3 linked regions of the Coturnix japonica genome follow. The protein of the gene in region 3 binds, or shares a complex with, the protein of the main gene of each other region. Links are inferred from orthologs where the notes say so. Each region holds a gene or a part of one and is shown on either strand. Other genes may lie near its edges.

Evidence for each region.
Region 1: CPSF2 (region 3) and CPSF3 share a complex: the UniProt entries of both Homo sapiens proteins name them as parts of the cleavage and polyadenylation specificity factor (CPSF) complex. The link is inferred for Coturnix japonica from reciprocal best matches to the Homo sapiens genes CPSF2 and CPSF3.
Region 2: CPSF2 (region 3) and CPSF4 share a complex: the UniProt entries of both Homo sapiens proteins name them as parts of the cleavage and polyadenylation specificity factor (CPSF) complex. The link is inferred for Coturnix japonica from reciprocal best matches to the Homo sapiens genes CPSF2 and CPSF4.

Annotation. Positions count from the first base shown.
Region 1 is NC_029518.1:87,815,880-87,819,530, reverse strand, and holds the end of CPSF3 (cleavage and polyadenylation specificity factor subunit 3), read right to left. Parts: intron 3,600-3,651; coding exon 3,447-3,599; intron 2,847-3,446; coding exon 2,738-2,846; intron 2,390-2,737; coding exon 2,291-2,389; intron 1,747-2,290; coding exon 1,652-1,746; intron 1,322-1,651; coding exon 1,234-1,321; intron 866-1,233; coding exon 796-865; intron 530-795; coding exon 433-529; intron 356-432; coding exon 251-355; 3' UTR 152-250; downstream 1-151. UniProt on the Homo sapiens protein: Component of the cleavage and polyadenylation specificity factor (CPSF) complex that plays a key role in pre-mRNA 3'-end formation, recognizing the AAUAAA signal sequence and interacting with poly(A) polymerase and other factors to bring about cleavage and poly(A) addition.
Region 2 is NC_029529.1:4,430,393-4,434,632, reverse strand, and holds the start of CPSF4 (cleavage and polyadenylation specificity factor subunit 4), read right to left. Parts: upstream 2,834-4,240; 5' UTR 2,723-2,833; coding exon 2,620-2,722; intron 1,308-2,619; coding exon 1,257-1,307; intron 868-1,256; coding exon 715-867; intron 1-714. Other genes in the region: pentatricopeptide repeat-containing protein 1, mitochondrial, read left to right, coding at 2,834-3,420, 4,171-4,240. UniProt on the Homo sapiens protein: Component of the cleavage and polyadenylation specificity factor (CPSF) complex that play a key role in pre-mRNA 3'-end formation, recognizing the AAUAAA signal sequence and interacting with poly(A) polymerase and other factors to bring about cleavage and poly(A) addition.
Region 3 is NC_029520.1:40,441,508-40,443,810, reverse strand, and holds part of CPSF2 (cleavage and polyadenylation specificity factor subunit 2), read right to left. Parts: coding exon 2,126-2,303; intron 1,295-2,125; coding exon 1,160-1,294; intron 1,055-1,159; coding exon 962-1,054; 3' UTR 1-961. UniProt on the Homo sapiens protein: Component of the cleavage and polyadenylation specificity factor (CPSF) complex that play a key role in pre-mRNA 3'-end formation, recognizing the AAUAAA signal sequence and interacting with poly(A) polymerase and other factors to bring about cleavage and poly(A) addition.

The sequences.
Region 1 (3,651 bases), on a different chromosome or scaffold from region 3:
GGGGCCGACAGGGAAGGCTACAGCCTTAAAGGGCTCCGGAAGGAGATGTGAGGGAACCGCACTTTATTATGATCCACAAGCACTAATGCAGATGACACGGGTAACACTGCACACCCATTCTTTGAGCTTAGTTTCCCACTCATATAACGCATTTGAGTTGCTGATGAAAACGTTTATTCACTTTATAAAAAACAAAAAGTCCAAGTTTGAACGTTACAAGCTTTTTGTATGTGTCCTACGTATCTACAGGTCAGCAGTACACGGGGCTGAGGGCGTCGTACAGCCTCTGTGCAGCCAGTTCCACCATCTCTCGCAGGGATTCATCGTCCTCACTGCCTGGCTCGCAGTCAGCCGTCTGAGAGCACAAAATAAGCATGTGAGAACAAGCACAGCACACACAGGTAAATAACTCCCAGTGCTTCATGTACGTACCCGAGTTTCCAGTGAGAGGTTTGCAGTTTTGCCATCTACGGTGACACACAGAATGGAGCCTTCCTTGGAACTCACACAGTCCTCTCCAAACATATCCCTGGAACAAAGGTTGGCTCACATCAGGTAACTGCCAAACAGCAAACACATTTCCTCTCCATTAACCTTAGGCTTCCAAAGGCCCTGGATTTGAAGTCTCAATGACACCGAGAGCTTTTTCAGGGTACCTCAATCTTTACTTAACTCCAGGCCTACACAGAAGCGTCAATACATTAACTCTACCTTTAAGTGGTACTGTAATAAAACTACTCTATATACACAAATAATGGTGATCGCTTTCATTTAGAAAAAGATCCACTGACTTACTGAAGCATCATTTCCACTCTCTTGCGATACTCTTCCGTGTCTACTTTTGTGGAAACTTTCTGCACTGCAGCTGGAAAGAAAAAGTCATTTTACTTTCATCTACTTCAAAGTGGGAGAAATCCCCGCGACTCGTTTCTAATCCCTCTGTTTTCTTTAGCTGTAGTGAAGTACATCACACAGTGTGGGAGAGGACAGAGAACAGCATAAAACTGAACACCAAACGCCAACTAGAAACTGATAGATAAGACATGTGCACATGCTGCAAATAATGCAAAGCTGTACATGTAATTCTGTGTTTAAGGAACATAAAACTCTTGAGAAGTTCCCTGAGGTGAAGCACAGCAGCAGGAAATCCATTTTAAGGCGTTCTAAAACTCCTGAAGCCTGATGTCCAAAATTCAGCAGTAAACCTCCATTGAAGAAGCATGTGCTACCTACCTTTCTGTATCTTGGGATTCGACTGAACTTCCAGTATCACTGTGGTCACGGTGTCTGCATACATGTCATTGGCAGGATTGGCCACCCACTGGAAGATGGACAAAACAGAAATCAAATCCCAGATTTCAGCCTGTTGTTGGGGCTGAATAAATAACACAACATAAAACAGCACTCATGGCCCTCTTGGAGTGTCACTGTACTCACTGTAGCCACTGAGTCACTGCAAGAGAAGAAACTGGCTGAGTGAAATAACATGCATCAACACAGCAGCATGGCCAAAGGCAACTTCTCCTCTTCACTCTGCTCATGATCCATCAGAAAGCTACTTAAAACAGTTCACTGTGCTCAGCATCTACATGATACTATTCTACAGGATCTGGAGAATGAAAATAGTTGTTTCCCCCCACCCAGTGCCTACCTCGAGGACTACCATGCCTGGTTCCTGGATTACAGTAATACTTTTGAAGACCTTCAGGGCTGGTTTCTGTTGGATTTCTATTTCCTCTACATCACCTAAGAAGCAGCGACAAATGGTTAGTGAGAATAAAATGACACTGAGAACAGGACTAACTGTATCTGCGTGGCTTTCTGAGTGTGCAGTATTGGCCATTGCACTTGCTTTGGATTCTCATAGCTCGTGGGGAGGAACAGAACATGTCGTCTGACACAAGGAAAGAATTCTTTTGTCTTAGTTTTATTAAATAGATGCCATTAAGCGTTCTGCTTTGGGGCTGGAGATAAAGGCTGATCACTTGCTAAATTTTCCATCGGGGTGGCTGAGCTGCTCACTTTGGGGCTGACAGGAGACAAAAAGCAGCTGAGGTTCAACATTGCTGTATGCTCATGGATTTGTATTACAGTTATATTAGGATGCCCACACAGGGTTTGTCACACTCGTGAGATGGATGTGGCAGAAGCTGCACTACATAACGAGAGCTGTAAGACACAAACCAAACTGTGGCACTGCAGAGCAAAGAAGTTCCCACTCAGAAGGTCCCTCCAAAGACTGTAAGTTGATTTAAGAACAAATCACAAACATTTCTTTCTGAATACACACCCGTAAGCTTCTGCAGCTGATAAAAGAGCAGATTGAAAGGGCCGGTATATGGAATGGCCAGTGTCTGTGTCACAGTGCTCATAGCCAAGTCCGTATAATCTGAAAGAATTGTTAAAAGAATGTCTTAACAACAGTTTACTTTAAAAGCTTTAAGTTTGCTTTCTAAAACAATCAGGTTGTCAGCACAGAGAAACAACGGCACCAAAACAATGAAGGCAGAGGGTGCAAAAGGACCGATTGTGAAGAATGGAAATCCTTGATTCTCACACCAACAGCCCAGAAATGTAGGCAAAACTACGCCAAACTGACACCAATGGACACGCGTCCAATGATTTCCTCCAACACAAAGTAACAAACAAGCATCCAAAAGCCAACACTGCACATAATGACAGAGAAGGACACAGAGAGTTTCAATGATCCACTAAGTAAGTTACCGCCTTCACTTACTGGAGAGGTCACACGGAGAAAGGATGTGATAGTTAAAATTCCTTTTGACCAGGATTCCAGAAATTCTCTGTCCTTGCTCCGGCTTCTTATCTGCTAAAGAGCCCATCACCTGAAAAGGAGGAGAACACAGCTAATGTAACATTATTTTTAAGCTGTTTTTTGAAATCATTTTACTAGATGCACCGCATTCATGCCTACAGACCTCCCTCTGCTAGAGCACCCTGTTTACAAGCTGTCTCACTGATTGAAGTATCTAAAGACAGCAGCTCTAAACGCCTGATTACAGTCAAGCATGTAATTATTTAATTCAGCCAAAGTAATTATTCTCCTCTAGTATATACGGATGGATTGCGTGTTTGACAGCATCTTCCTGAAATGTAAATGAAGCCTATCATATTATTTATGCACAAAGCGCAGTGCTCCAACATGACTGGAATTGATATTCTTTGTTAGGAGAAAATTGATGAGCGCTGTTCAGATCACACAGCAAACAGACTGGGATGACTGGACTGAAAACACCAGCAGGTTATGGGTAGCAGAATAGATCTACGTTAGCTAAACAAAAACATTCATATATGTTGTGACCTTGTAAAACACATGCAATCCAAACCCAATTTACCTTAGAGGCTTGGAAGAGAACATACAACTTAGTTTCATAGGATTAAAAACAAGTGTCATTGTATGGAGATGAAAATACTTGATTTCATACCTTGGCAAGCTTTTCTCCTCTGAAGTTTAACGTCACAGCTTCAGTATTCCTCGGATTATGAACTTCTATATGAACTTCGTCGTTATCTTCATACTCCCGTATCAATGCTGCCTTCAATCTGGCCATTTCATTCTGCTCACCATGAACTAAAATCTATGGGAAGACAGTTTTCCTTTTCATGTGAGGTCTCTGTCCAACCAGGCAT
Region 2 (4,240 bases), on a different chromosome or scaffold from region 3:
GTACCTCCCACAAAGCTGTTACCAGCATTCATAAGTTCAGGCACAACGGTCTTATTGCCTGACTTAACCTAGAGGATGAACACCAAGCACTCACCCCTAGTGAGTGAACTTCTACCAGACTGGATTATTTATGTGTGCTTTTAAAAACAATGCAGAAACTGATTTTTGGAAGAGAGTCATGATAACAAAAACCAAACATTTAGTGCACCAAAAGTGTGGAGAAACTACAAATTGCACACTAACCTCAATCCAAGGAAACCTACAAGACTGTAAGTTTCTGACAGCAAGTTGCCTCATTATGTCCAGATCTCCAGAGCTGGAAAGCAAGTGCATAAAAGTTTTGCACCCCCATGCCCTCTGCTGCTCATCAACTCCCCAAAACAAGAGTCATGCAAAGACCAACTGCTCAGCCTACTCAACTCATACTAAAAAAGAGAACATAAAGCACAAAACCCAGTAACAATGTGAACTTCCTCCCTCTTCCCCAACATGACAAGCTCTTGAGAGAGGAAACATCTACAACACATGGCGAATTTAGGGGAATAAAAAGATAAAAGAGCTAAGCAGACCTGAAAAACTACAATGGAACAGTGTCAGCAGACATGGAAGAACTGAAATATTCTGAGGATGGAATAAGAAGGATGTACCAGGATCTTCTTCACCAGACTCCCACGCTTGCAAGGAACACTACGTAGGAGCTACAATGTTTCTTACCGAATTTGGAGTAGAAGTAACACTCAGGCATCTTGGTCATGTCATACTCGTGCAGAAACTCACACTGGTCTCCCTTTTTGCATAGTCCTCGTAGCCAGTGTTTGCAAACGACAGTCTTTTCCCCACTGATGTGTCTGAATGGGCACATACCTCCTGCACAAGGATGAGGCAAGGGAAATGAAAAAGAGGAACAATTAAACTCTGCAGTACAAGCAGGAACACAGCAACAGCAGCGCTTCACTCGCCTCTACAAGAGAGGTTTCAGAAGAACTCAGTTTTTCCTTATGACTTCAGTTCTTAATGGTAACGATAAACAAGGACATCCAGACAAGTCCTGTTTTACCCTCTAATGAGCTGAGCACTGTAGTCTCCATGTCTAAATCCCAGCAGCCGCAACCCATAGACACTAAAACAGCCACATCCACAGCAAACCCCACACAATTTGTGGAGTTAACAAAAGCCATGATTAACATAGAACGTGCCAGCAAATCTATTTCTCCTCCCTGCAATACGAGTGTAAGTGTACTGGAAATACAACTTGCCTTTCCCGCATGCTGCTTTTAAAAAGAATTCACAGACAGCTGCACCTGATTCTGTGGAAAGAAGAAACAAAATAAACGTTAACAAACTTTAGTAGGAGCTTCCAAAGTATTTTCTGCCTGAAGAAACGACTGAGTCCTCAAATTCAAAAGAGAAACAGCATTTTGGTTTGAGGAATTTACATCCCTGCATGAATTCTTTGTTCAGTTCTGGCCTTCACAAATGTCTGTATTCTCCTCAATGAATACACAGCAGGGAAATTTGCAGTTCTGTTTATAGCCTTTCAGACTTCAGGTTGGGCAATGACTATTAAACCACTTGCTGTAGTGAAACATGTTTATAGCCCTGGCTCTCAAAGTCTTTTCTGCAGATCAGCCTGACCCAGTTGTTGCTGCGTTATCCCTCACTGACCTACAGGAATCACAGCACTCAAGGGAGCAATGTGAGGTCAGCAGCACTGACACAGAACGTCAGCAAACTGTTGAGTCTCCCAGGACTACTTGCATCAGTGGACAGGTTGAAGACCCCTATGATGACCAAGTCCAACCAGCCCATTCTCACCACATTGACCATGTCCTTCTGGAGTTGTAGGGAATGATGTGGCCTCCCCTGACTCCCCCATCTCCAGACTAATGCAGGAAAGTGCTCAGATCCCAGACTGTGAACACACCTACACCTTCCCTGCCACCAAAACACCTCACCTATCAAAAGGGCAATCAAACAACAGCGTGGGACAGCAGTGTTTATTCACATGAACGCCTCAACTTTCCTTCCATCCCAGCACGGCACAAACTACGGCTACAGACACACAGCACCCGGCCCAAGGCAGCACCTCAGGGCAGCAGGAGCTGAGGGGACACGAGGAGCCCAGCACAGGGCACGGAACAGCCCCATCCCCACCACCACAGAATCACAGAATGACCCGGGTTGGAAGGGACCTCAAGGATCATGTAGTTCCAACCCCCCTGCCTGGCAGGGCCACCAAACATACACCTTTACTACATCAGGTTGCCCAGGGCCCCGTCCAACCTGGCCTTGAACACCTCCAAGGACGGGGCATCCACAACCTCCCTGGGCAGCCTGTTCCAGGGCCTAACCACTCTCCTAGTGAAGAACTTCCCCGTAACATCCAACCTAAATCTTCCCTCTTTTAACTTAAAACCATTTCCCCGTGTCCTGCTATTGTCAGCCCTTTCCAAGAGTTTACTCCCCTCCTGGCACTAAGTTCCCTTCAGGTACTGAAGGGCTGCACTGAGGTCACCCCACAACCTTCTCTCTAGGCTGATCCCTTCTCTAGGCTCCATCCTTGTCCCACCACCCCGGCTCAGGGATAGAGGTTATGCCGCGCCCGGCGCCCACACGCACTGTCCATGCCGGGAAAGGGCAGCGGCTGCGCCCCCAGCTGCTGCTCCACCGCCAGCTCCAGGTCGAACTTGATGTGGTCCACGCTGGCGATGAGCTCCTGCATGGTTGCAGCCGGGGGGCGACGGCACCGGGTGGGAAGGGGTGGAATGGTTGGGGCCGGCTGTGGCCAGGCCCGGCCCGGCCTGGCCCGACCCAGCCTGCTTCTCTTCGGCAGCGCCTCAACACTCAATGGGGCCGCGCGCGACCCGCGCCGCGCCGCCCGCCCGTCCCGGAGGATGCCGGGAAAACACCTCCGGCTCCGGCCGCCGCTTTGAACACGCCTCTTCCTGCCGCGCATGCGCCGTGGCGCTACGGTGGCCGCGAGGGGGCGGGGCGGTGTGTGCGCCGCGCTTCGCGATGCGGCCTGCACGGCTCCTCCTCAGCCTCCAGCCCGTCCCTTGGCGGTGCTGCCGGGCCGCTGCTCCGCTTCCCTCCGCCTTGTTCCGGTACCTCAGGCCCAGCTTCCCTTCACTGCGTGGCCTGAGGGCGCTGAGCTCGTCGCAGCCGCCCCCTGAGGTGCGCGGTGCTGAAGGCGAAGCTGGTGATGATGATGATGATGATGATGATGAAGGTGTGGAGTTCGGGACGCTGTCTGCTAAGTTCTCCCATAGGAAATATTACCACAAAACCACGGCGGTGTTTCGGAACTTGAAGCTTGAAGAGGATGGGGAGGAAGAAGGGGAGAGGAGGCTGTGGTACGGCCGCAGGAACACGCCGTACTGGTATTTCCTAAGGTGCAAGGCCCTCATCAAGGAGGACAAGGTGGGATTTGGGGGTTATAGTAACGTTTGGTGCTTGTGAACGAGCACTTTGCTGTTAGGATTAGAATGGTTCGCTTGGGAGGGGCTTGAAGTGATCATCAGGTCCCTTTGGCCTTTAACTGAGGTTAAAGTTGCCTTTAAAGTTGCTACTCCTGCCTCCTGTTATAGCTGTCTGTCTGCACTCAGCACTTTTGAAGCCATGCCTCAAGTACTTGTTGTTCAGTTTTGGACCATTCGCTACTAAAAAGATGTGGAGGCCCAGGAGTGTGTCCAGAGAATGGCAATAAAACCATGAGCATAAGTCTTATGGGAAGCAGTTCAAGGTCTGAGGAGACCTCATTGCTTCCTGCTCTCTGAAAAGAAGTTGTGGTGTGGTGGGAGTTGGCCTCTGATCCAGGTAGCAGTGATAGGATGTGAGGTGATGGCCTCAAGTTGTGCCGGGGAGGTTCAGGTTGGATACTAGGAAACATACTTGGAACGAGTGGTAATGTGTTGGAACAGACTGCCCAGGAAGGTGGTGGAGTCGCCATCCTTGGAGGTGTTTGAGAACTGTGGAAATGTGGCACTGAAGGACTGACAGATCAGACTTGATGATCTTAGAGGTCTTTTCCAACTCATTATCATCATTATTAAAAGAAGGAAAACAAGAATTTATGAGGAATTCTGTGCTCTGTAGGATTTCTGACTACAGCTAAGGCTATTCATTGTAACTGAATTGTTGCTTCATAAAACATTTTCCTTTTCTCTGTAGCTGGCAGAGGCCCTGGAGCTGTTTGAGGTGCAGATGCTGAAGGAAGAGCGAGTAAAGCCAGAAGAAATCA
Region 3 (2,303 bases):
ACAAAAGCATTAGATGTATCACATGAACTTAGATTTCAAGTTAGAAGATGATGAACTTGATTCATGGCACTCTGAACAAACAGCAGTGCGTACATAAAGGCTTTAGTTTTCCACGGTATCAAAAATCAGAATTTAAAATAATTGATAGTTGGCACAACTTTGCAAAAGCTAGAAGGTACAAATTCATTAAGTTTGTACCAAAGTTACTCTGATGGACATAATTGCTAGATTTTTAGCTGCTTGAGGATCTTCTCCAGTCTTCTTAACTTACCTTTTCAAAGTAATATTTTGATCCTGCAGATTAATACTTCATACAGAATATGAAATGCTGTACTGGAACAAGTCATTAAGAGGAGACAAGCAACAAAATTAAGATGCAGCCAGATTAACACTGGTGGAACATACCGGTAGACAGCTTTAAGTGGGCTTTTAAAAATATATTTTAACTAGACCCCATTTAAAATGTAAAAAAAAACCAAAAACAAACAAACAAAAAACCAAGACAACTCAAGACAATCTTCTATCAATCAAACTTGTTGAAATAACATAAAACTAACAAAAAAAAAAAAAAGAGAGAAAAAAAAGAAACCACAACTCCCTAGATAAACTTATCTGAGAACAGAAGAATGACTTATATCTGTTTTGTAGTCTTTGGCAGGGAATCTAACAAATCAAAACACATTCTATCAATGTGAAGCCTTCCTGAGAAACAGTTTGTGGTCATAAACTCATTTCTAACACGTTATGTGGGAGATGAGTCATAATAGTTTGAAAGTCAAGAACATGGAACATACCAACAAATTTATGAAGAGCAACAATGGCCATTATTTACACATCCAGGGTACTTAACTGATCTTTATGAATTACTTTTTCCTTGTATAAATTAGAAAATTACAAAAAGTCCAGAGAGAAATCCTCCACACGTTCAGAAGTTCAAGCAAAACACCTTTAAGAGCTTCCTTTAGACAATAGCATATTGCTTGTATAAAAGTTCTCTTATCCTATAGAAGTCCTGACAGAGACAGCCTTCCAATCCAATGCGCCCCGTTTCAGTCTGAAACAAAAAGACATTTCAATTCAATACCTTTAAACAAACAAGAAGCTTAATTTTCATTTAGAATGTTATTTAGCAAAGAGTTTTAAGACACAGATCACCTACCCTGCGAACAGCCACCATATTGTTGCACACAAGCACTCCTCCTACGAACTCGGCTTGAATTCCTTCTCGCAAGAGAACTTGCTTGAAGTCAGACAGTCTTGGCTCATTCATAAACACAGACTGATGTCCAGGAACCTTTAAACAATGAAAACAGTTTTAAAACTTCTGCTACTTATTGCCTTTCATTTTTCCAAAGATCATCTCCTTATTGTGTTGGCAGCAGCGGGGCCTATGGATAGGCTAAAGGACTACAAAGGAGAAAACTGGCAAGACAATTCCAGGATGGGAAGCCTCAGAAGTCATCTGTCAAGCAAGAGACTTCTTTCTGAGCTCACATATTGAAGACTCTTTTGAGCCAAGTTATGCCAGGGACAGAGCTGCAGTAAGCTGCACTGCTGATCAGTACATGCTTCCATACTAGTTGTCATGAATCTGAAGAGACTTAGGAGTTGTCTCATGTTTATCTAGCTCCTAGAACAGACTACATTCAAGACTCTTCAATAGTACCTTAAGTAATTCTAGGAGTAGGAAGTACTTCATTAACTGAACAAATGAAATTCTCTATTCACACGTGCAAGAATTTTCATTTAAGAGTAATATTATGAAAAAATTAATGAGCTTTCAGATCACTCAGAGGCAGAGATGTAAGAATTTCAGACATATGTCTACTTAGGTACATTATATACTTCCCATGGCATCGACAAAACATAATGGAACCCAAGAAAAACTAAATATCAACTGATTTAAAAAACCACAGGTATTAATTACAAATATGGAACACAGCAATCTAATATTGACCAATAGATAACTGTACTCCAATAGGTAACTGTACTCTAGGCACCATTACTGGATGCAATAGTGCTTGCTGAAAAGCTTAAAATCTGAAACAACAGTAACAGTATTAGAATACGGAACTCAGGAAAAAAAAACAAACAGAATTAGTCTAAACCAGGAAAGTTTCTGTACCTCATGAGGTGGCAGTGGTTCCAAAGTAGGAATGATTTCACTCTCCTCACACATCTCCTTATCATCGTCACCAAAGAGACTTTTCATGGCCTTTTGTTGAGCAATGACACTAGAGTCTGAAGAGGGCACATCCACCTGCATCTCTAACTCTTCATCTTCCCTCAGCTCTCCCTCTTCC